Saccharomyces cerevisiae S288C: one gene and its partners. Changing the gene in region 1 together with any one later gene gives a genetic interaction. Each region holds a gene or a part of one and is shown in the gene's direction. Other genes may lie near its edges.

What was found. A genetic interaction does not mean that the proteins touch.
Region 2: mutations in IRC7 (region 1) and ARA1 together harm fitness more than expected from each alone (negative genetic interaction), as found in Saccharomyces cerevisiae (one large-scale study listed by BioGRID).
Region 3: mutations in IRC7 (region 1) and ATH1 together harm fitness more than expected from each alone (negative genetic interaction), as found in Saccharomyces cerevisiae (one large-scale study listed by BioGRID).

What each region holds. Positions count from the first base shown.
Region 1 is NC_001138.5:259,764-267,798, forward strand, and holds IRC7 (cysteine-S-conjugate beta-lyase IRC7), read left to right. Parts: upstream 1-4,440; coding exon 4,441-5,463; downstream 5,464-8,035.
Region 2 is NC_001134.8:538,072-543,968, forward strand, and holds ARA1 (D-arabinose 1-dehydrogenase (NAD(P)(+)) ARA1), read left to right. Parts: upstream 1-1,915; coding exon 1,916-2,950; downstream 2,951-5,897. Other genes in the region: YSW1 (Ysw1p), read left to right, coding at 1-1,634; TBS1 (Tbs1p), read right to left, coding at 3,138-5,897. UniProt on the Saccharomyces cerevisiae protein: Catalyzes the oxidation of D-arabinose, L-xylose, L-fucose and L-galactose in the presence of NADP(+).
Region 3 is NC_001148.4:613,316-621,961, forward strand, and holds ATH1 (alpha,alpha-trehalase ATH1), read left to right. Parts: upstream 1-2,063; coding exon 2,064-5,699; downstream 5,700-8,646. Other genes in the region: TFIIH complex kinase subunit CCL1, read right to left, coding at 62-1,243; YPR027C (uncharacterized protein), read right to left, coding at 7,110-7,943.

The sequences.
Region 1 (8,035 bases):
CACTGAAATGTTATTCAAATCTTCGATATAAAAAATGCGGTAATTTCAGACCCAAAGACATCCATTACCCATCATGCTAAATTGTGGGATAAGATATATATGGTTAATTGATCTGATTCAGCTGCAATAATATCGGTATTTATTATGGTACCTTCCATGCTCTTTGCCGAACTGCAGATAACCTGCGTCTGCAAATTGCAGGAATTACTGAAAATGAAATTGCTAAACTTTGGGAGCTACTAGAAGAAAAATGAGTACCTCTCCTACTTATATTTCCCATTTTCTTGAAGGTTTCTCCTTCCCATATAAGAATTCCAAACGGTGTTCCTTTACAAACCCATAAGGGTATTAAAATGATTCTCAAAATTTCCTACTGCACTATTGTTTTTTCTTTCTAATAGATGAATCATCCGTACACACACAGAGACCACCGTTTACTTTCATATCAGAATAGAAGTTGTGAAAGCTACCTACGAGACTTAAATAAACATCTTTTTCGATGGTGAGCTTTTCATGGTAATTCGTCGAGACAGTAACTGTTTTGCTCTTTTCTATGATGTCTAAAGCCAAAACAATGTCCATCAAGACTAGCGTAATAAAAATCAACCTGCTCATTGACAATTGGATTATTTTTGGCTGTTCAAGATTAAAACAGACTCAGTAGGCAAAAACTTCAATCAATAGTACCGGGAAGATGACATTCCGGTCTAAGTGGTATTATACACTTATAGTAAAGTCACGTCAACCTTTGTTACTTTTCTTAATTGATTATATACGCACTCTTCTCAATATTTGATTTCTTCATCGAAAAGATCTACACGAAGTTTTTATCATGTGTTAGCGTGATGGAAAAGATCTGTGCACGTTTAATTAGAATTGCAAAAGCTTCAATGGGTTTGATTGAGATTTTTATTTTCAATTCACTCATCTTGATGTTCACCACCAAGCCTACATCGAAACTTTGAAATACAGGAAAGTTGCAGGAGGCTTTATTGGTTGAATTGAAAAAGAAAGGAAGAAAAACGTAATGGTAAAATAAAACTCGACTATGGCGCAACCGATAGAGAGTTTAGTGGCATTAGAAATTTTAAAAGAAGCTTTAAACTACAAAGTGTTCTTCTGAATCTGAATAAGGTCACTTACATAGAAACCTACTTACCTCAAAAGCGTAATTCCGAAAGGCAAAAGAAAAACTTTTGTAGAATCTTCAGCTGCTAGAAGTTCAAATAGAAGACAAATTACGGACTTGTTGCAGTATATGCCAAGCTACAGAAGAAATTATATTTCTTAATACGTACAGAAGGTATGAAACGTTAGTTTACTCACAGAAGATACCCTGGCTTTTCTTTTATTAATACATGGAGTTGCAAAAAACAAGGGAAAGGAAAATCAATCAAATTAGAATTAAGGTTTTTTTTGGACAGTGCAGCGTCAATGCGCACGTAATGGCTTCGAAGAAAAAAAGAAGGCAAATACAATGAAGCTGAGATCTTGTTTTATCATGAGGGGAAATAAATTGGAAGCATTGAAGTTGTTGGAATGAAACTCTAAAATATCATCTGTTTAGTAGTATCGTGTTACTAGTACATTATCACATACAGTGTAAGAAAATGACATTAGGTATGAGAAACAGTCATCAAATCTAATGGAAGCGAAATTCAAGGGTTGGTGATGTAATAGGATAATGAAACATATAAAACGGAAGTAAAAATAATCGTAATATTACAAGGAGACCAAACAAACAGTCGAGAGAAGCGTATGCACAATCATGCAAGAAAAATTTTCTGGAAGAATTTATTTAATCTTAAATTACAAATCTTAGTAGTAATGGTCACTTCTGATAGTTTCGAAAAAGGAAAGAGGAGATGACTATTGAGTCAAATTTTTTTGACGGAAACTTAGCGACCGAAAAATATATATGATAATAAGAAAACGAATGGCATACAATGATTAGTTTCAAATATTTCACGCGCAAAGAAAGAATTCTACTACCGGAGTGTGCCCTTCTTGTACTTTATTATCAGACTGTGTCTCTCTAATTGCGTGTTGTCCGCGGAATAATGCTCTAATTTAAAAAATCGACATATTCTGACTTGTATGGCGCTTTGCATTGGTGTTTATATGTTAATAACCCCTAATCATACTCTATATGAATACTTTCAAATTTACCAACACAATAAAATCTTCATATTCTCATGCATGTTTTGCCCTGTATCACTAAATAATACATACTTTACCGAAGCTGGTTGTATTTCGTGTATATCATAGCCAATGATGCCGTTATAATGTCCGAAATATTATCGCTTAATGAAGGGAAGCAGCTAACAAATATGACAAATACAGCAATTTCTTACACCGGTAACTAATGATTATACAAACAAGACTTGATTTTTTTTATGGCCTGTAAGAATATATCATAACGTGAGTTCTAGATATTTAAAGTTCTTTATGCATATTCTAGTCTACGTATATAGGAGTTCCAAAAAAAAAAAAAATTAAATGCACGTTATTCTTGACGCTAGTGTAAGTTTTTATGTACTTTACCTGCTAGCTTCGTATTTCTGTCTTGGGATATTCTTGTCCCTATTATGAGAATGTACAATATGCAAAATAAAGGTAAAAGATTTGAAAAAGAGAAAATACCCAAATATCAACAAAACTACCTCTATAGGACCTGTCTCATGGTCTTGACAACTTTATGCGAAATAAGAACACGATCGTTATATCACTTAACGCTTGAGATATATACAGAATGTAGTACATGTCGGCCCTTCTACGGATTTATTACCATGTGTATACTAGAATTGATACCGGCAACCCATAGTGACTTTTAACAGGGCAATTGGATTTGCATAAAAGTATATACAGTAATAATAATATTTCCTGATGAGAAAGGTGGAAAGTATCGAGTTATGTGTACCTTCAATACCAATCTCTACCTCTCGTTAATAGTGCCACAATGCTATGGATTCTAAGCAATTTAAACCGCATAGCTATTAGTGTAGACTTCCCACTGTATTTGAATGACACGTTGCCTTCATTCCTTGTTGCGCTGAACTTTCACGTCAGATATATATACATAAGTGCAATAGAGGCCTAGGCTAATCTGCAAATTTCTCATAGATGTACACCGCCTGTGCCGTACGGCATCGCTATCTTCTGAAAGGAAACTGTAGTAAATTTACCAAAATATCTCCGAATAAAAAGAAGAGGAACATCTTTTAATGAATTATAGAGTACAAAAGAATCATTTAAAAGAGAGGGCGAGTGAAAACATGAAAAGAAACGTTACTAACTTAATTGACCTTAAAGTAGCCTCACCAGTTAAGTGCATTATTGATCATTCCATGAATAACCATTTTTAAAGACTAAGATGCTGAGTTGTGTTATATAGAGAGAAAAAAACGTACTTTCAGTTTCCATATGAGGTGGAGCGCAGGTCATAGGTATGCCGGCTCATTGTTTTCTATTTTAAAAAGTAAAAAATATGCTGCTAAAGGAACACGTGAGAAATTACATTCTCCCTAGGTCTGCGATAACGCGGTAATATTACACTGCCGCCGCCTTCCATGCCTTTGGAAAGCAGACAATGATGCTAGGCGGCGCCCAGCAGTATAAACTTTTCTTGCTTATAACCAGAACCTCTATCACAAAATTAGAAACTGCGATACTATGGGTCAGATCGACACATAGGGAGCACTATTAGGCGCAAGGCGTATACATAGGCATTGCGTGTTCAAAAATTGTCGTATGAGAAAAGTTCCAAACTTTCCACCATTACTCACCAACAACTTACACCAGCCCGGATTTAAGATTTAGCTTCCGAGAATATTGTGACTCAGCCACTGGTCTCTTGAATGTTGCGTGTAGCTTGATTAAGATTATGGCATAACCGTTTTTTTTACTTGGCAAGAGTGAACGTCCTTTTACTCCAAAAGGCTCCTGATGAAACTGGAGAGTCTCTTTGTTCTGAAATTTTTAAAGTTTAGCACACCATATTCACGCTCGAGGTGAACCCAAGTTTTCCTGAAAAATGTGCCATGAACCTGAAAAAAAGAATTATTCTCGAAAATAAAAAAGGCAATCAAGATCGGAAAGATAAGCATTTTTTTTCAATCCGTATCTAACATTCATAAAGTGATAAAAAAATTGATAACGATTTTATTGTCGCCTCTTGTTTTGAGTATATTTTTTTAACGTTCTTTTTCGGCATTCAAATTCCGTATAATCAACTCAATTGTAAGGCGCCGTAGCATCCAAATAATGTTGAAAGTGCCAATTTGCTCATCAGTGCTAAATATTCCTTGATAAAAATATAGAAGACAAGGACATATAAAAAGAAAGACTGCTCTAGTGTTGGGACACCACAATGAAAAAATACTTAACGTGTTTCGAAACTGTGAATATAAAATTCCAGCAAAAACCAAAATATTCACTACAATGATTGATCGTACCGAGTTATCGAAGTTTGGTATTACTACGCAACTGTCTGTTATTGGACGTAATCCAGATGAACAAAGTGGCTTTGTTAATCCACCTTTGTATAAGGGGTCAACCATCATTCTTAAAAAACTTAGTGATTTAGAACAAAGGAAAGGAAGATTTTACGGGACAGCAGGTTCTCCAACTATTGACAATTTAGAAAATGCCTGGACGCATTTAACCGGCGGTGCTGGGACAGTGCTATCAGCTTCTGGGCTTGGTTCTATCTCTTTGGCGCTATTGGCCCTTTCGAAAGCTGGTGATCATATCTTGATGACTGATAGTGTCTACGTGCCAACACGTATGCTATGTGATGGTTTATTGGCCAAGTTCGGTGTTGAAACGGATTATTATGACCCATCAATAGGGAAGGATATAGAAAAACTAGTTAAGCCAAATACAACCGTCATTTTCCTCGAAAGCCCGGGTTCTGGGACCATGGAAGTACAGGATATTCCAGCTTTGGTCTCTGTTGCCAAAAAGCATGGGATAAAGACAATTCTAGACAACACATGGGCAACGCCACTCTTTTTTGATGCTCATGCGCATGGTATCGATATTTCGGTAGAAGCTGGGACAAAATATTTGGGTGGTCATTCAGATCTTCTTATTGGTCTGGCCTCCGCAAATGAAGAATGTTGGCCGCTATTACGGTCAACTTATGATGCAATGGCAATGTTACCAGGTGCCGAGGACTGTCAATTAGCATTGCGAGGAATGCGTACATTGCACTTAAGATTGAAAGAGGTAGAAAGAAAAGCCCTGGATTTGGCTGCTTGGCTCGGAAATCGAGATGAGGTTGAAAAAGTGCTTCACCCCGCCTTTGAAGATTGTCCCGGACATGAATACTGGGTTCGTGACTACAAAGGTTCTTCAGGCTTATTTTCCATTGTCCTTAAAAATGGGTTCACAAGAGCTGGTCTGGAGAAAATGGTAGAAGGGATGAAAGTTTTGCAATTGGGATTTTCATGGGGTGGCTAGAAAAGCTTCAACATGGCCTTACAAAGGTTTTGCACTAAGAATACAAGTGGGTCTCGAAGAATTTGAAGATTTAAAAAGGGATTTTGAGTTAGGCTTTGAACGTCTCGCAGAAGAAATTTCTTTGAATCCTTTACAAATCTGATTTTTTTTCCTTTTTTTTTTGGATTTCCAAGCAATGTTGTTTGAGAAATGAATGAAATTTTTGACTATAGCTTGTCTTAGGCAGGCTGGAGTAGACAACCATCTAGTAGCCAATGTTTGCCCAGTTAATATATGGTTCAATTTTCTAGCTGTATCATATTATGGATGATGAAGCAGATAATCTTTCTTTTTTCTGTATGTCTGATTGTAATAAAGAGGCTTACCATATTGTGAATGCATTTCAATGACACTGCATAATGAAGTCATTGTATTTAGAAAAGTAATAATTTTGTATTGTATAAAGATAGAAAAAACGTATATCGTACTTATTCAGCGGAAATGATTCTGCTTTATCTACTTGCGTTCCTGAATATAATATTTGTGAACCAGGCTTGAGCTTGACACTACAGATTTTTTAGTTCGATTTCATTCAGTAGAGAAAGGCATATCAATATGACATGTGATCTCACTCCGCGGCTAAATGCTAGCAATAAAAAGAATACCGTAATAGAGATGCAGCAAAATAACCACTGGTGTTTAAGAAATAATATGATTACGTCAGTAACCGAAGAGCCCGTACGCACTCTGCTACCATAGACTATGTATATTGTTACCTATTGTAAATAGCTATGGTTACTCTAAGTACGTATGGTGCTATGCATCTCGGTGAACGGATGCAATTATGAAAGTGTAGGTCAGAACATCATCGGTGGTTTTGTCGTGTAAAAAAGGTTATAAGGAAAATTATACTCACATGATTTTATTCATCATCGTCTGTGTATCGCTTCAATTAACATTTTGAAAAAGAGATTACTTTATATGACGTTATGTATATCTTTCAACTTAAATAACCTTAGCTGGCAAAATAAAGAATAAGATAAGGGCCAAGAAGAACGCTAATACTCGTTTTTTTTCAACTACAAAACAACTAGTTGGATAATTTTGAAACAACAAAGTAGAAGTTGTACATATATTTTTGCGCATATGGCTCTGAAATATCGTATTTTTCAAAAGCCCGATACAAAGCCGTCAGCAATACCCATAGTTAAAGATTCCTTGATAACCTATAGCTTCCGTAGACAACAACACAAATTTACCACCTACTTTTAACTCACCCATGTTTTTCAGTTTATCAATGAATCTAATAAACGTGGCTTACGTAACAGCTCCGCATGGACTTGAATTTACTCCTAGCGAGCCTAGTGTTTTAATTGCTTGCATACAATCTTCATCGGAAACTAAACAGGAAATAGATGGCCCCTTTCTGTAGTAGAAGAAATGCTGTTGCTGAAATCCTCGGACAGTTCAACTCATCCATGATTGTTCTAGAGGTTCCTAGATCAGATGAAGCCTTTTGTAACACCAATGACTTATTGACAGTGTAAGCGGTATCTGGTTCAACCGAGAAGACTTTCGTATTCGATTTATGCGACCTGTAATATGTTATCACTCCTTGAGCAAAAGAATCAGCCCCACAAGGGACAAATATTACCGCAGGATCGAATGGTATTTCGCTACACAAGGTAGTGTAACCATAAGAAATCCAGTTAGGAATTTCATCATAACCTATGAATGAAAAATCTTGAATAAGTTGATTTTTTTGTCGGATCGCTACTACAAAACTCTAAAGAACTTTTTATTGCATAATCATAGTTACCTTTAATTTTGATAACTTCTGCTCCCTTTTCTGATCTGATGTTCTCACGCTCTGTTCTAGAACATTCCATGGAGTAAATATTGTAGACTTTAAGCCTAGGATTTTTGCCATGTATGCAACTGCTCTACCATCATTACCATCTGTAACAGCCGCTAGCATCAAAGACGGGTGTTGGAATTTGACAATTTGCTTCAATGTATCCAAGGAAGTTTTAGGTAATGGCAGGCTAAATCTTCCAATCAAACAGCAAAATACACCTCAAGACGCCCCAAGAATTTTGAATGAAGGCGAGCTGAATCCCGAACTTTGTTCTTTAATGTACAATTTAATACCAAAATGATTATCCAACTTGATTAGCTTCGATGACTCATACAGATCCATACCAATATCAACTTCACGGATAACTTTTTCAACTCTTTTAAATTCTTCAACATCATTTTTCGATCAAACTGCGTCAGGTTTTACATATAGATCAAGCGTTGTCGGTTTATACTACGATGTCATTTACGATCTGCTGCCAACAGAAGAAACATTACGCAGTACCTTGGAAAAATCTAGGCAATTTATAGACATGAATCTCCTATCGTTCTTAAAACAATGTATTTCCTGTCGTTGTCTCGATTCTCTTTTTTGCTATTCTGAAGGACAGGTCCATTTATCATCCAGAATTCTAATCCCGAATTTAAGATATCGTAACAGTAACAACATCATATCCAAGCACCGAAGATTCATTGCTCTATATTCCTTGTCTTCGAATAAGGAAGATACCGCGAA
Region 2 (5,897 bases), on another chromosome or scaffold:
ACAAAAACTCACAAAAATCTGTTGAAGAAAGAAAACTAGGAAGAAAAGTTAGATCTTTTTTCAAACAAACAAACTCAAATAAGGACGAGTCTGTGTTGGAAGATGAAGATGATGCGTTAGTTTGGAAGAAAACTAGCAATAAGTGTGCAAAAAAGGAAAATTCCCATGACATCCAAAAAGGAAGTTTCACAAAAAAAATCAGAAACAGTATTTTCAAGAGTGCAAATGACGTGAAAGAATTCAGGAATGAAAATAACTTACTATTGCCCGTTGAACTTTCTTCTGATGATGAGAATGAGTCTCATTTCACTGATGCTAACTCACATGTTATGCAATCAAAAAGTCCCGAGAAAATACCTTCCAAGGATCAATGCTTGACTAAAGGCGCTAAGAATAAAGGTCTGAAAAAGGAATATGAAAAAAGTTTTGAAGAGTATAGCGACGACAGTGACGATGAATTTTCTCCTGCTACTCCACCGGAGAATGTTCTTGAAGGTCCTTACAAATTTGTGTTTCAGACACCAAACACATTTACATCTCAGCCTAATATAACAGTAGAAAATGATTTTCACAAAGGTGGGAGACATGTGATTGACTATCTGAACAAAAAATTGGCTACTATGAACATTGATATTGATTTGACTTCAGGGGGGAAACAAAACGTATCTTGGGAGGAAGAGCTCGACCAATTGAGCGACCACGTTATAGAAAGTATTACTAACCACATTTCAAAGGGTAGAATGCACGCACAAGAGAAGCAAGATGAGTTGGAAAAGTTAAAATTGGAGAATTTGAACTTGTCAACATTAAAGCAAGAAAATCTCCAACATAAGCAGGAAATTAACTCATTGAAAGACAACCTTGAATCCATTAGTAAAAAAAACAATGATCTTATATTGGAAATGAACAAATTGAAAAAAAAAAGTACGAATAATAAAACAAATGAGTACATATCTACGGATGAAAACGAAAATGAGGAGATTACCAAATCCAATATGGGTCCTGGCATTTTAGAACTGAACGTCAACGAAACTTCAAAAAAATTACAGCAATCCACATTCAAACCCTCGAAATATCTTCCAAGAGAAACGAGAAACAATGAAAATAGATTAAAACACTTGGAAAAGAGAATATTTGGCTTAGAAAAATCTCTTGAAAAAAAAAAAAAACAGGTAAGGGCTGACAGCGTTAGATTAGACTTGAATAGATATACTATCGACCAGTTTTTGACATTACTGAAAAGCCTCAGCGAGGTTTTGCAATTCCACAATGTTTATGGCAATGATTTGAAGGAAAACGACGATAATATTATAAAGATTGAAACCTGCTGTAGTGCGCTAAACATGAAAAATTGTTTCGAAGACTCCTCATTTCGTTTACAAGAAAACAGCTTCAAGAGGCAATTGGGCCCTCTGTTCGCAAACATCAACTTCTCCTTAATCGACCAACTGACAATGAACTTCAGGTTCTACGAGAGATCTGCCAATTTCCAGAAGGAAACAATAGGTGGGTTAAGAATGATGCTACAAGATAAGGATAACTATATCAAAACACTGATGCAACATTTGAAGAAAAAAGAGAGTACAAAGTTGATAAAAGACAGCAAGAATGGCGCCTCCACCTTAACATCTTAACAATTTCGTTTACTGAAAATGCTACTAGTATATAATCATTAAGTATCTAACTATCACTCAATAAAAATATTATAGATCGCTTAAAAACTCGTTTATTGCCGATTATAAATCCACCAAAAGCCGCTCTACCCTTACCTCCGCCTGGAAAAATTATAATATATAAAGTGAGCCTCGTAATACAGGGGTAAAAAGGAAAGAGGGGGATATCAAGCATCTGGACTTATTTGCACTATCTCCGCCTTCAATTGATAAAAGCGTCTTGATTTTAATCAACTGCTATCATGTCTTCTTCAGTAGCCTCAACCGAAAACATAGTCGAAAATATGTTGCATCCAAAGACTACAGAAATATACTTTTCACTCAACAATGGTGTTCGTATCCCAGCACTGGGTTTGGGGACAGCAAATCCTCACGAAAAGTTAGCTGAAACAAAACAAGCCGTAAAAGCTGCAATCAAAGCTGGATACAGGCACATTGATACTGCTTGGGCCTACGAGACAGAGCCATTCGTAGGTGAAGCCATCAAGGAGTTATTAGAAGATGGATCTATCAAAAGGGAGGATCTTTTCATAACCACAAAAGTGTGGCCGGTTCTATGGGACGAAGTGGACAGATCATTGAATGAATCTTTGAAAGCTTTAGGCTTGGAATACGTCGACTTGCTCTTGCAACATTGGCCGCTATGTTTTGAAAAGATTAAGGACCCTAAGGGGATCAGCGGACTGGTGAAGACTCCGGTTGATGATTCTGGAAAAACAATGTATGCTGCCGACGGTGACTATTTAGAAACTTACAAGCAATTGGAAAAAATTTACCTTGATCCTAACGATCATCGTGTGAGAGCCATTGGTGTCTCAAATTTTTCCATTGAGTATTTGGAACGTCTCATTAAGGAATGCAGAGTTAAGCCAACGGTGAACCAAGTGGAAACTCACCCTCACTTACCACAAATGGAACTAAGAAAGTTCTGCTTTATGCACGACATTCTGTTAACAGCATACTCACCATTAGGTTCCCATGGCGCACCAAACTTGAAAATCCCACTAGTGAAAAAGCTTGCCGAAAAGTACAATGTCACAGGAAATGACTTGCTAATTTCTTACCATATTAGACAAGGCACTATCGTAATTCCGAGATCCTTGAATCCAGTTAGGATTTCCTCGAGTATTGAATTCGCATCTTTGACAAAGGATGAATTACAAGAGTTGAACGACTTCGGTGAAAAATACCCAGTGAGATTCATCGATGAGCCATTTGCAGCCATCCTTCCAGAGTTTACTGGTAACGGACCAAACTTGGACAATTTAAAGTATTAAGACAACGACTTTATTTTCACTTTATTTAGTTCGCTTCTTAATCTTGTCAAAAACAAGATATTGTGTAATCGCCTCAAGTAAACAATATGTTTTTCATACGTGATTTGAAGTTTTTAAGTATCTGAAATACATACGCGCGCGTATGCATATGTATTAGTTAAATTACTCGAATGTCCTTTATATAATATTACATTTTTACACACACATTCTTGAAGAAGAAATCCCGATCGTAAAAAAAAACACCGTGCTCCAAATGGCCTTCAATCTTTTCGAATAATTTATTCGATTGTTCATTCTCATCTCTATAATCATTCGCCGTACGTTCAGGATATGACGCATCAAGCAGCGAAGCTAAACCTGTTGGAAATAAAGATCTGTCATAGTCATCGTCTTCTTCATCATCATCAGCACCATTATTACTATAATCATCATCATTGTCATCATCATCATCATCATCATCATCATCATCATCATCATCATCATCATCATCATCATCATCATTAATATTGTTGTCATTGTCATTATTGTTACTGTTACTGTAGTTATTGTTATTATTATTAATAGTACTACTACTATTATTGCCATTTTTATTATTATTATTATTATTATTATTATTATCGTCAGTATCATCAGCGCCAGTAGTCTCGTTATTATCAGTATTGGTACCATTACTATGATGATATTCCTCGCCTGGCTCAAGAGTTTTATTTTCCCACAATTTCGGAATGCTTGAAAATTGCAAGAAGTTCAAATCCTGGATTGTTATTTCATTGAAAATATTGAAGGACACTTCCATTTTTTCTTGGTCCTCTGTAACGAAACTACCAAATGCAGCCATCTTCTCTTTATTTATGAACGAAGTTTTCAAGAGCTCGACCATATCATCTTTTGATTCTCTCGTATGCTTAACTAACCTATTGAGAACACCCTCATAATAATTTGAATCAAAGGCATAGAATTTTGCGTATTTACTTGTCAGATTGAACTTTTCCATCGTACTCCGTAGAAAAAAAGTGTAAAAAAAAAGAGATGTTTGCCACTTCAGATTGTGTACTGAAAGACAGCGTTCTTCAGATCCAAGCATACGGGTATGTGTATCCCTCAATAATCCAATTATATAACCAGTCTCCATGGCATGTTCGTCATTAACCATAATCTCTGACAAATACAGAAACATGGAAAAAACCGTTGTGAGAGAAAAATACAGAAACTCATTCTGAACAGTAGGGTAGTATTCAAAATCTTTCAAAATATTAAGTACTTCGATGCAATTTCGCTTGAAATCCAATCTTGACCTTCTAATAATTTCAGCTATATCATGCCGGGAACTTTCCCGTTGATCTAAGTTATCTCCAATGATGGATATGACAAATAAACTCAGGGTTATCTTTTGATGGTACCATCTGAGGTGTAATAGAATAGTAGTACAACAACTCACTTCAAAATCTAACTTCGAAGAATCCAAAGATAAAATCCTCATGTTTTCCTTGTAATTTTCTAATGATAATATGGTGGGCAAATCGTCTCGCATTCTATCTAACGCCTTTTGATTTTCCAGTACATTTTCAATGATTTCATCTAGTGTATCGTCTAAAGTTGTTCTGATGGAAAAACATGAGTAATATATTTGAGACTCTATGAGGGATAATCTCGACAAAAAATATGATTGAATGTATGGTACATATTCAAGGTGATTCGCGAGTAAGTTTACAACGGATACAATATCTTTCACCCCTTCTAGTTTTGAATCATCGTATTTTATAGAAAGATTGGGCAGAATTTTATCTCTGAATAGTTCAACATAGCTTTCATCTGTTAATACATCAGTGTTTTCCTCCTTGAGAAAGGGCGGTCTTGACAACACCACAGAAAAGAATTTGTCTGTTGAAAAACAATAACACCACAAGCGTCTTCTTTTAATGATTTCATCAAGTTCTAGATCCTCATAGGTGGAATGTAAATTGAGCCGTAAATCCAAAGCCACTTTGATAGCAACGGATAGTACTTTGACCGCTGATGAAGCACTTATTTTTTGTTGGGCAAACTTTGCCAGTAACAGTAATGCCTTTAATGCCGTCATATCTGCGCGTGCTACAGACAGTTTATGGTAGTAATAGACAGAATTGAGAAAAGTGAAAGATCTGAGTCTCCATAATTCGAACTTCTCAAAATAATAGGTTTCATGATTATCTTCATCAACTAGCTCCTGCTTCTCCTCAAAATTTGTAACGGTGGCCCCAAGGCAGAGGCAGATATTTAGCAAAAATGCCTGTGATGATGTCAATCTTCCTTTAGCAGGATCAAAGTGCACGTCGGCAAATTGCAAACATTGATCTACATCCACTATGTGGAGAAGAGAGGCTAATGATGGACATTTTATATTTTTGAGCAAACGCTTTGCAATTGCTAAACGGGGCAGAGGATACAAAATATTATCACTAGATGGTGATGATGCGGATCGGAAAGAGAAGTCCAGGACCAGCTTGGTCTGTAAAATAGAATATTTGAAAGTAGTAGTAAACATTTCATTAATGGGCGAAAGAAATTCTTCGTCAGTTAAATGTGATAAAACATTTTGTCGAAAATGAAACATTTTTTGTTTTGTTAACAAGGCCTTTGAATATTGCTTTCTTTTAGGCCTTTTCATGTATTCTTTATCAATGACGTCAATTTTGCTTTTTTCAGCTAGCTTCTCTATTGTTCCCTTCATGTTTTTACAAATCTCTTCCAAAACAAAAACTTTCCCAGCAACCTTCGTATGGTTGAGTTCAATTTTTTCAAGCACTGTCCTGTCAATAGGAACAAAGTCAGGCCAAGTATCTTCTTTATCGCTTGCACTTTTGCCGGCAGAAACTCCAATATATTCTTGTGATAAGTTGGTGTGTAATTTCGGCGAGCTGTCTGTAGAAGAAGTATTTCTTGATCGCACGGCGATATCAAAATTTTC
Region 3 (8,646 bases), on another chromosome or scaffold:
TACCTATGCATCTTAATCTATATATATATATAAAACAGAAACCTACGGTAACAGAGCTGTTTCATGTTTTTTGCTTTTTCTCAACGGTGGACGAAGTATCTTCTCCATTCAACTTCCTTTTTAATTTCTGAATCAGTGTTGATGGATTTTGACAATAATAGTTTTTTGCCGCAATTTTCTTGGCCTCTTCAGTACTCGGAGGTTTACAATCTTCAATAATACTTTTACACTCGCGTATTATGGTTAGTAACTTCGCGGAGTCTATCGAATATTCTTCGCTCTCTGTGGACTTCTCTTTGTTTTTCTCAGTTGTACTGGCATCATTTTGTGGTTCTTCTTTTTCGTTTCCCGGTACTGATTCCTGGCTACCTTCTCTGCTGGGAAATTTTGTTTCTAAATACCTTGTGACCAAGGCTTCATCCTCAATCAATAATGTTGCTAGTGTTATTTGGGGTGGAGTGTAGAAATATACGACATCGGTTAATAATGCGGCAGTTATTCTCTTCTTACACCTATCGTATATTTGGCCCATGTAATTTAAATCAACCTTACCATAAAGGACGTTCTGGATATCTAAGAAAAACCCATGAAGCGGTTTGTAAGGATGATGGTTCAACAGTGAAAATTTCAATGATTCTAACAACTTAAACTCGAATTTGAGAACACTATCTCTAGTAGATTTGGCCTTTTGAGCAAACGAGTCCACGCTAATAAAATAGTTCTCCGATTTGCAGGCTAGAAAGATAGTAGTATGTACAATACTTTTAGGATCTATTTGCATAACAGAATTTTCTAAGAAAAAACGCCTAAAAAAGGATATCGCAGTGGCCACTACTTCGGTTGGCAAATTTAGATGCTGTGCTATTACCTGAACTTTTTTTGCGTAGAAATTCACCAAATCGAGTTCTTCTTCCATTGTCAAAGGGATAGCCTTTGCTTCTAGTACTTTTATTTCTTCTTCTGTTAAATTGTGTGCTTCTCTAAATTTTAATAAATTTTCCTCAATGTAAGCAATCGCTCGGGCATTGGTATCTACCCTTTTCTCCTGAAGTTGATCTTTAGTGTATGACCACATTCTATACTGAGAAGAGTGCCTATATAAATCATCGTCAGAAATTCTTTTGTAGTTCGGTGGCTTGTTATTCTCATCAGCCGATTTTAATTTTGCCTCTTTTTCTTTTGCTGACATGGTAGCAGAAGGAGTATCTAATGTACTCTTTCCATTTAGTTGAATATCCGTCATTCTATCAATATCTGTGCAGCACAGTATTTTCCTCTCTTAAACTTAATATTCACTCATTTGTTTGAGATCTTTCTTAATATAAAAACTGTGTTAAGATCAAATTTATTACCCGGATTGTGAACGGCTTAAACAACGAAGGGATACCGCAGGAAATGAGAGGCCCTTTCTTCTCTGGATGGCAAACAGTTCGTGCTATCAAAGTCTGTACCAAGGTTATTTCACTCTTCAAGCCAGCAATAACTACTTTCTTTCAGGTCACCTCTCAGCCGTCACGTCTCTAGCTGAAGCTTTGTTATTCTCGCTTCACTAAAAACAAGTGTATCTACAATATTTACCAGTCTATTCGTATATCCCTTATCATTCTTTTTCAATAAGGGCAAATACTTCGGAAAAAGAAAGGAACATTCATCTTGATTCTAGCCGTAAAGCTATCACGTTCACTCTAAGCAAGCGGAAAGTTGAGCAAAATCAACGAACAATCTGAGTCAGCAAGGCAGTACAAGCATCTCTTCTTTGCCCCTCAAAATTTATTTCCTTTTTGGTATAGTCTTACTTCCAAGTCCAAGCAAGCACTACGTATCACGACAAACCAACAGCCGCGCCGTTTTTATATTCGGAAAGAGAATTCTTGTCGTTATTGAATAATAATAACAAAATTTCTCCACTTTTCACCATATTACCACTCCCTTTTTTTCAAGTAAAAAAAAAAAAAAAAAGAATCTTATTGCTCCTTAAAAAAGGATTCATCAGTCCTTTATGAGAGCCTGCTAGTATCACCTAATATTGCATCTGTTTTTACCGAAATTTCCTCATTCCAATAATGAAAAGAATAAGATCGCTTTGGTTCAATGCGGAGGCTTCTTATTCAAACCTTAACAATTCTCCTAGTTTGAGGAACAAAAATAGTACCGGTAATAACTCTCGCTCTAAAAATTATCGTTCTTTCTCAAGGTTTGACTTGATCAACTCTATACTTTTACTGATGATGCTATTTTTATTAGCTATCTTCGTCACTGCATTATATTTAACAAAGAGTTCCAGGCTTACATACTCACATGCCTCGAGGGCTGCCCTATTTAACCCTCTGGGTGTGATATCGCCGTCATTGGGAAATCATACGTTGAACTACGATCCAGAAGCAAGGGAATCTTCTAAAAAACTTTATGAACTCCTTTCTGATTTCAACACGGCATATTATGATGATGAGAACATGATTTTGGGAAGTAACTTGTTCTCAAAGAATACATACTCGAGACAACCATATGTTGCTAACGGTTATATAGGTAGTCGTATTCCCAATATTGGGTTCGGCTATGCCTTAGACACCCTGAATTTTTACACAGACGCACCAGGCGCTTTGAATAACGGTTGGCCCTTAAGAAATCATAGATTTGCCGGTGCGTTTGTATCGGACTTTTATTGTCTACAACCAAAACTAAATTCAACAAACTTCCCAGAATTGGATGATGTAGGATATTCCACTGTCATTTCATCTATTCCACAATGGACCAATCTACAGTTCTCATTAGTGAATGATTCTAAGTGGTTCAATCCACAAAATGTTACGTTGGATGACGTAACTAATTATAGCCAAAACTTATCAATGAAGGATGGTATCGTAACTACGGAGTTAGATTGGCTAAACAGTCAAATACATGTTAAAAGTGAAATCTGGGCACATCGGCACATTCATCCACTGGGAGTGGTTTCTTTGGAAATTTCCCTGAATACGGACCATTTACCTTCGGATTTTGATTCATTAGATGTTAATATATGGGATATACTTGATTTCAACACATCACATAGGACTGTTCTACATAGCACGGGAACAGACGAAAAAAATAATGCGGTTTTCATGATTGTTCAGCCAGATAACGTTCCATCTTCTAATTGCGCTATTTACTCAACGTGTACTGTAAAGTATGAAAATTCCACCAATCCAATAAATTCTAGTGAATCTTTTGAAGAAAAAGATGTTTCTTCTAATATTTATAATGTTATTTTGACAGAGGACCAACCCAAGATAATCGTTCATAAGTATGTTGGTATTATGTCTACTGAGTTCAATAAGAACAAAGAACAACAAGACAATACTAATATTGGTTTGGCCAAAATGATAGCTCTAAACAGTAAAGGCAATTACGAGAAGCTTCTGTCAAGTCACAAACGTGCGTGGTATGACCTTTACAACGACGCCTTCATTGAAATTCCTTCTGACAGTCTTTTAGAAATGACAGCAAGATCGTCCCTATTCCATTTACTAGCAAATACAAGAGATTACAATGTCTCGAGCGATAGGGGTCTTCCCGTGGGAGTTTCTGGTTTGTCATCAGATTCCTATGGTGGTATGGTGTTCTGGGACGCAGATATATGGATGGAACCTGCCCTATTGCCTTTCTTCCCAAATGTGGCTCAAAATATGAATAATTACAGAAATGCTACACATTCGCAGGCAAAGTTAAATGCAGAGAAATATGGATACCCCGGAGCAATATACCCCTGGACATCTGGTAAGTACGCTAATTGTACTTCTACGGGACCTTGTGTCGATTACGAATACCATATTAACGTTGATGTCGCTATGGCCTCCTTTTCCATATACTTGAATGGACACGAAGGGATTGATGACGAGTATCTGAGATATACTACATGGCCAATTATCAAAAACGCAGCCCAATTTTTTACTGCTTATGTTAAGTACAATTCTTCCCTAGGATTGTATGAAACATATAATTTGACAGATCCCGACGAGTTTGCTAATCACATCAATAACGGGGCTTTCACGAATGCTGGCATTAAAACACTTCTAAAGTGGGCAACAGACATTGGCAATCATCTCGGCGAGGTCGTTGACCCCAAATGGAGTGAAATTTCCAAAGATATTTATATCCCTAGATCCTCATCTAACATCACTTTGGAATATTCTGGTATGAATAGCTCAGTGGAGATTAAACAGGCGGATGTGACTTTAATGGTTTACCCACTTGGATATATCAATGATGAATCCATATTGAACAATGCAATTAAAGATCTTTATTATTATTCAGAAAGACAGTCTGCGTCTGGGCCTGCAATGACATATCCGGTTTTTGTGGCCGCAGCTGCTGGTCTGCTGAATCACGGCTCTTCTTCTCAAAGTTACTTATATAAATCGGTTCTTCCATACTTACGGGCTCCTTTCGCTCAATTTAGTGAGCAATCAGACGACAACTTTTTAACAAACGGATTAACCCAGCCAGCATTCCCCTTTTTAACAGCTAACGGTGGATTTCTACAGAGCATTCTGTTTGGGTTAACAGGAATCCGATATTCTTATGAGGTTGATCCAGATACTAAAAAAATTAACCGTTTGTTAAGGTTCAATCCAATAGAACTACCGTTGCTCCCTGGTGGTATCGCTATTAGAAACTTCAAATATATGAACCAAGTTTTAGATATAATAATTGACGACCACAATGGTACGATTGTTCATAAATCAGGAGATGTTCCTATTCATATAAAGATACCAAACAGATCTCTAATACATGACCAGGATATCAACTTCTATAATGGTTCCGAAAACGAAAGAAAACCAAATCTAGAGCGTAGAGACGTCGACCGTGTTGGTGATCCAATGAGGATGGATAGGTATGGTACCTATTATCTTTTAAAACCGAAACAAGAGCTTACAGTCCAACTGTTCAAGCCTGGCTTAAACGCAAGAAACAACATAGCGGAAAATAAGCAAATAACAAACTTGACGGCCGGCGTTCCTGGTGACGTTGCATTCTCTGCTCTAGATGGGAATAATTACACGCATTGGCAACCCTTAGACAAAATTCACCGTGCGAAGCTATTGATTGATTTAGGTGAATACAACGAGAAAGAGATTACCAAGGGAATGATTCTTTGGGGGCAGAGGCCCGCAAAAAACATTTCCATATCTATTTTGCCTCATTCTGAAAAAGTCGAAAATTTATTTGCGAACGTGACAGAAATTATGCAAAATTCGGGAAATGATCAACTTCTTAATGAAACCATTGGTCAGCTTTTAGATAATGCCGGAATTCCTGTCGAGAACGTTATTGATTTTGATGGCATAGAACAAGAGGATGATGAATCTTTGGATGATGTGCAAGCCTTATTGCACTGGAAGAAGGAAGACTTAGCCAAGCTAATTGAACAAATACCCAGACTTAACTTTCTAAAAAGAAAATTTGTGAAAATTCTGGATAACGTGCCAGTGAGCCCAAGTGAGCCATACTACGAAGCAAGTCGCAACCAGTCGTTAATCGAGATATTACCCAGTAATAGAACGACTTTCACTATTGATTATGATAAATTGCAGGTGGGTGATAAAGGGAACACAGATTGGAGGAAAACAAGATACATAGTTGTGGCAGTACAAGGAGTGTATGATGATTATGATGATGATAACAAAGGAGCTACAATCAAGGAAATTGTTCTCAATGATTAAATGAAATGATGCATATAAGTAGCGCTTTTTTTAATATTATAAGTTTGGATAAAAGTTACCAATTTTTTCGTAGGATATATATTTTAAAGGCACTATATTGAAAATATCATGCATGCTTATATAAAAGCTTTTTTTTTTCTATAGGGTGACATTTAGGAGCAATAATTTTTACTACAAGCTTTTTTTGCACCTTATATAGTAGTGACCTTGAAATTGGTCTTTTGCACCAGCGTACTTTAATTCCACTAAGTACTGTTTAGCAGCCTGTTTTCCAGAGCCCACAACAGTTTTCTATAAAATTTTCACATGCATTATATAGACATGATCTACCTACCAATTTGATCTTCCTGCCATTGAGATCAGTTCTTTCATTACATTGATTGCACATTTTTAATTGGCGCCTTTTCTAATTTTTTGTATGAGTCCATATTAAAAAAATAGACTTCAAATTCCTACTAGACGATTCTGATTCCATCGGGATTACCACCAGATTTGATATTGGCTCTTCTCTCGTCAGTAGGGTTTGAACAGAAATATTCCTAAATTTCTCGCAACTTAAATTAAATTTGCAACGATAATGTTTGCATACATTTTTATATTCTAGATTCAATACATTAGAGGTAACTTGATGTAGCGCCAATCTGAAAATACAGAAGCCTACTAGGCAAATATTTAAAGCTCTATATACTATTCACGAAAGAAAAACGTACTTTGTATAAATTGAAGAAAATGAGTTTGTGTTAGTTGGGTCCTGCCATTTGGTATCCTGAAGGTTTTCTCAAGGTGGGGTGGGCTAATCTACAGGAATAGTTTATAGTAATTGTGTGTTAAGAAGTATTTTGGCTTTAAATGACGTCCCCCACAAATTTATTACTTCAGGTGTATAATGTATTCACAAATATGTTCGTTTCTTTTTTGCTCTTCATCGTCCCCAGTTTTTCCTCACCCTTACAAAACAAAAACGGCAGGAAAAGGGTCCTATGTAAATTAAGCAAACACTGCGGGGTAGAACCTAAATTTTAATGTATTTTTTTACAATCCAACCAAGATTAAACCAATTGCCGAGCTTTTTCCTTTCTCGGTGAAACAAACCTTTACAAAAGATACGCCAGAGTAAACGCATTCCTACAAAAAATGAAAGATCTTCATTATTTACACTCTTGTAGCCCACTAATCAATTGGTTTCGCAACATTGTTCAAAGGCAGTGGTTTCTTTTTCCCTGAGTATCCTACTATAGTACAAAAAAAAAAAAAAAGAGTGAAAAAATCAGAAGAGAAAATTATATCGATTATAAATTTTTCAAGTACATCGTCTATCGAAGCTAAAGACTTGAATAATTAAATTTCTGGAAATGGGACAAGTGTACTTATCAACAACGAATAAGGTATAGCAAAGTTTAGAGAATTATTTTAATTATCCCTATAAAATGAAACCGATATTTGAGATTTGTTTGGGCCTTTTTCTCTCCCATGAGCAGTGAAGCCTACAGCAGAACCGTCCCAATTTTCGTCGGTGATTTTTTCTGAAATTTGATAAAGCTGAGACTTAAAATTACCTGATATTTTTCTAATGTTTGATATTTTCTGGAAAACGCCATTAGCAATTCCTTGGCTGTTTTCGTTTAAATTGCCCTGTATGTCCGATAATTTATAATTTGTGAACTCATTTGAAGCGCCTTTTGTATAACAAATCTGCTGGGCCAAGCCTGGGAAAGGCAGAGCCGTCTTCTCGCCAAGTTTGAGAATCAAACAGTTTTGGTTTAGTTCACTTCCTGAAGTATTCATATTTACTCCTAAGTATAGGTCGAGAGGTTCAAATGTTGTTTTGATTTTTTCATTCACATAATTTGAAGGTAGCTCGACGTATTTTGGTTTAATTAGGTCATATAACCTTTGCGGTTCATTGATACCATCATTTTCGAGCTTGTTGATAAGCTCGATGATTAATGAAAACATTAAGATTACAACTCCTAGCCCACAGGATATCATATTGGCCGGATTTTCACCTACAGAAAAACATGATACCATAGTTTGAATTACTTGAAGTGTTAGTTTAGTGTCATCCAGTTTCTTTTCACTAACAGATTTTGTAGCGGCAGGTGCAGGTGCAGTAGAAGTTGATGTCACCGTTTCATATACAGTTTTGATGATTGTAACAGTATCTATCATGTCATCATCATGGAATGCAAAAAGAAGACCCAGGAGTGGGACGAACGAAGCAAGTATTCTGTAAATACCAACCATTTCTTTTTATCTGGCGCTTTATATGTTTATGAATAGTACGTTATGATGATTGTTTTTTTACAAATGTTTGTGAATTACACTAATGGTAATTCCCTCTTTAGTTAGAAGTAATGGAAAATTAGTACTTTCTAATTCTTGTGATCAACGCTTTTTCAACGTTGCCATCATCAACAGAATCTCGATCTGCTAGCCAACATCAAAAAGTTGTTTGCCGCACATCATGTAACCGAACTTTCAGTACCACAAAAACTAATATGCACGGCGCTTGAAAAGTGCTTTAATTTTGTAAACTATTTTGTTTTGTAAATTTCTAGGCAGTTGAGGCTACCGTCGTGACCACAGAAAGAAAACATCTTCAAAACACTTTAGTGACTGTCCATATAGCCGCCGAAGTTAGTCGCTGATATAATTTGAAACCTACATTATTATTTGTTCGTTTGGAAGACACGTTAGGTTTAGTATCAATAAACTTCCCATCCGAAACACTTATTCTACTAGTGTGTTTCATAATGCGTAAGCCAGCACGTATATATTCATCTCAATTTGTTACACACTTAACATACTATATAATTCCTGAGAAAATGCCCAGCTCATAAACATCGGTAGTCCAATTCAAGAACGGGGGAACTGAATTTGGGAGTAATCAAAAAAAAAAAAAGACGTTACTTCATCGTTTTTGTTGTCATTGTACACTTCTTTCATT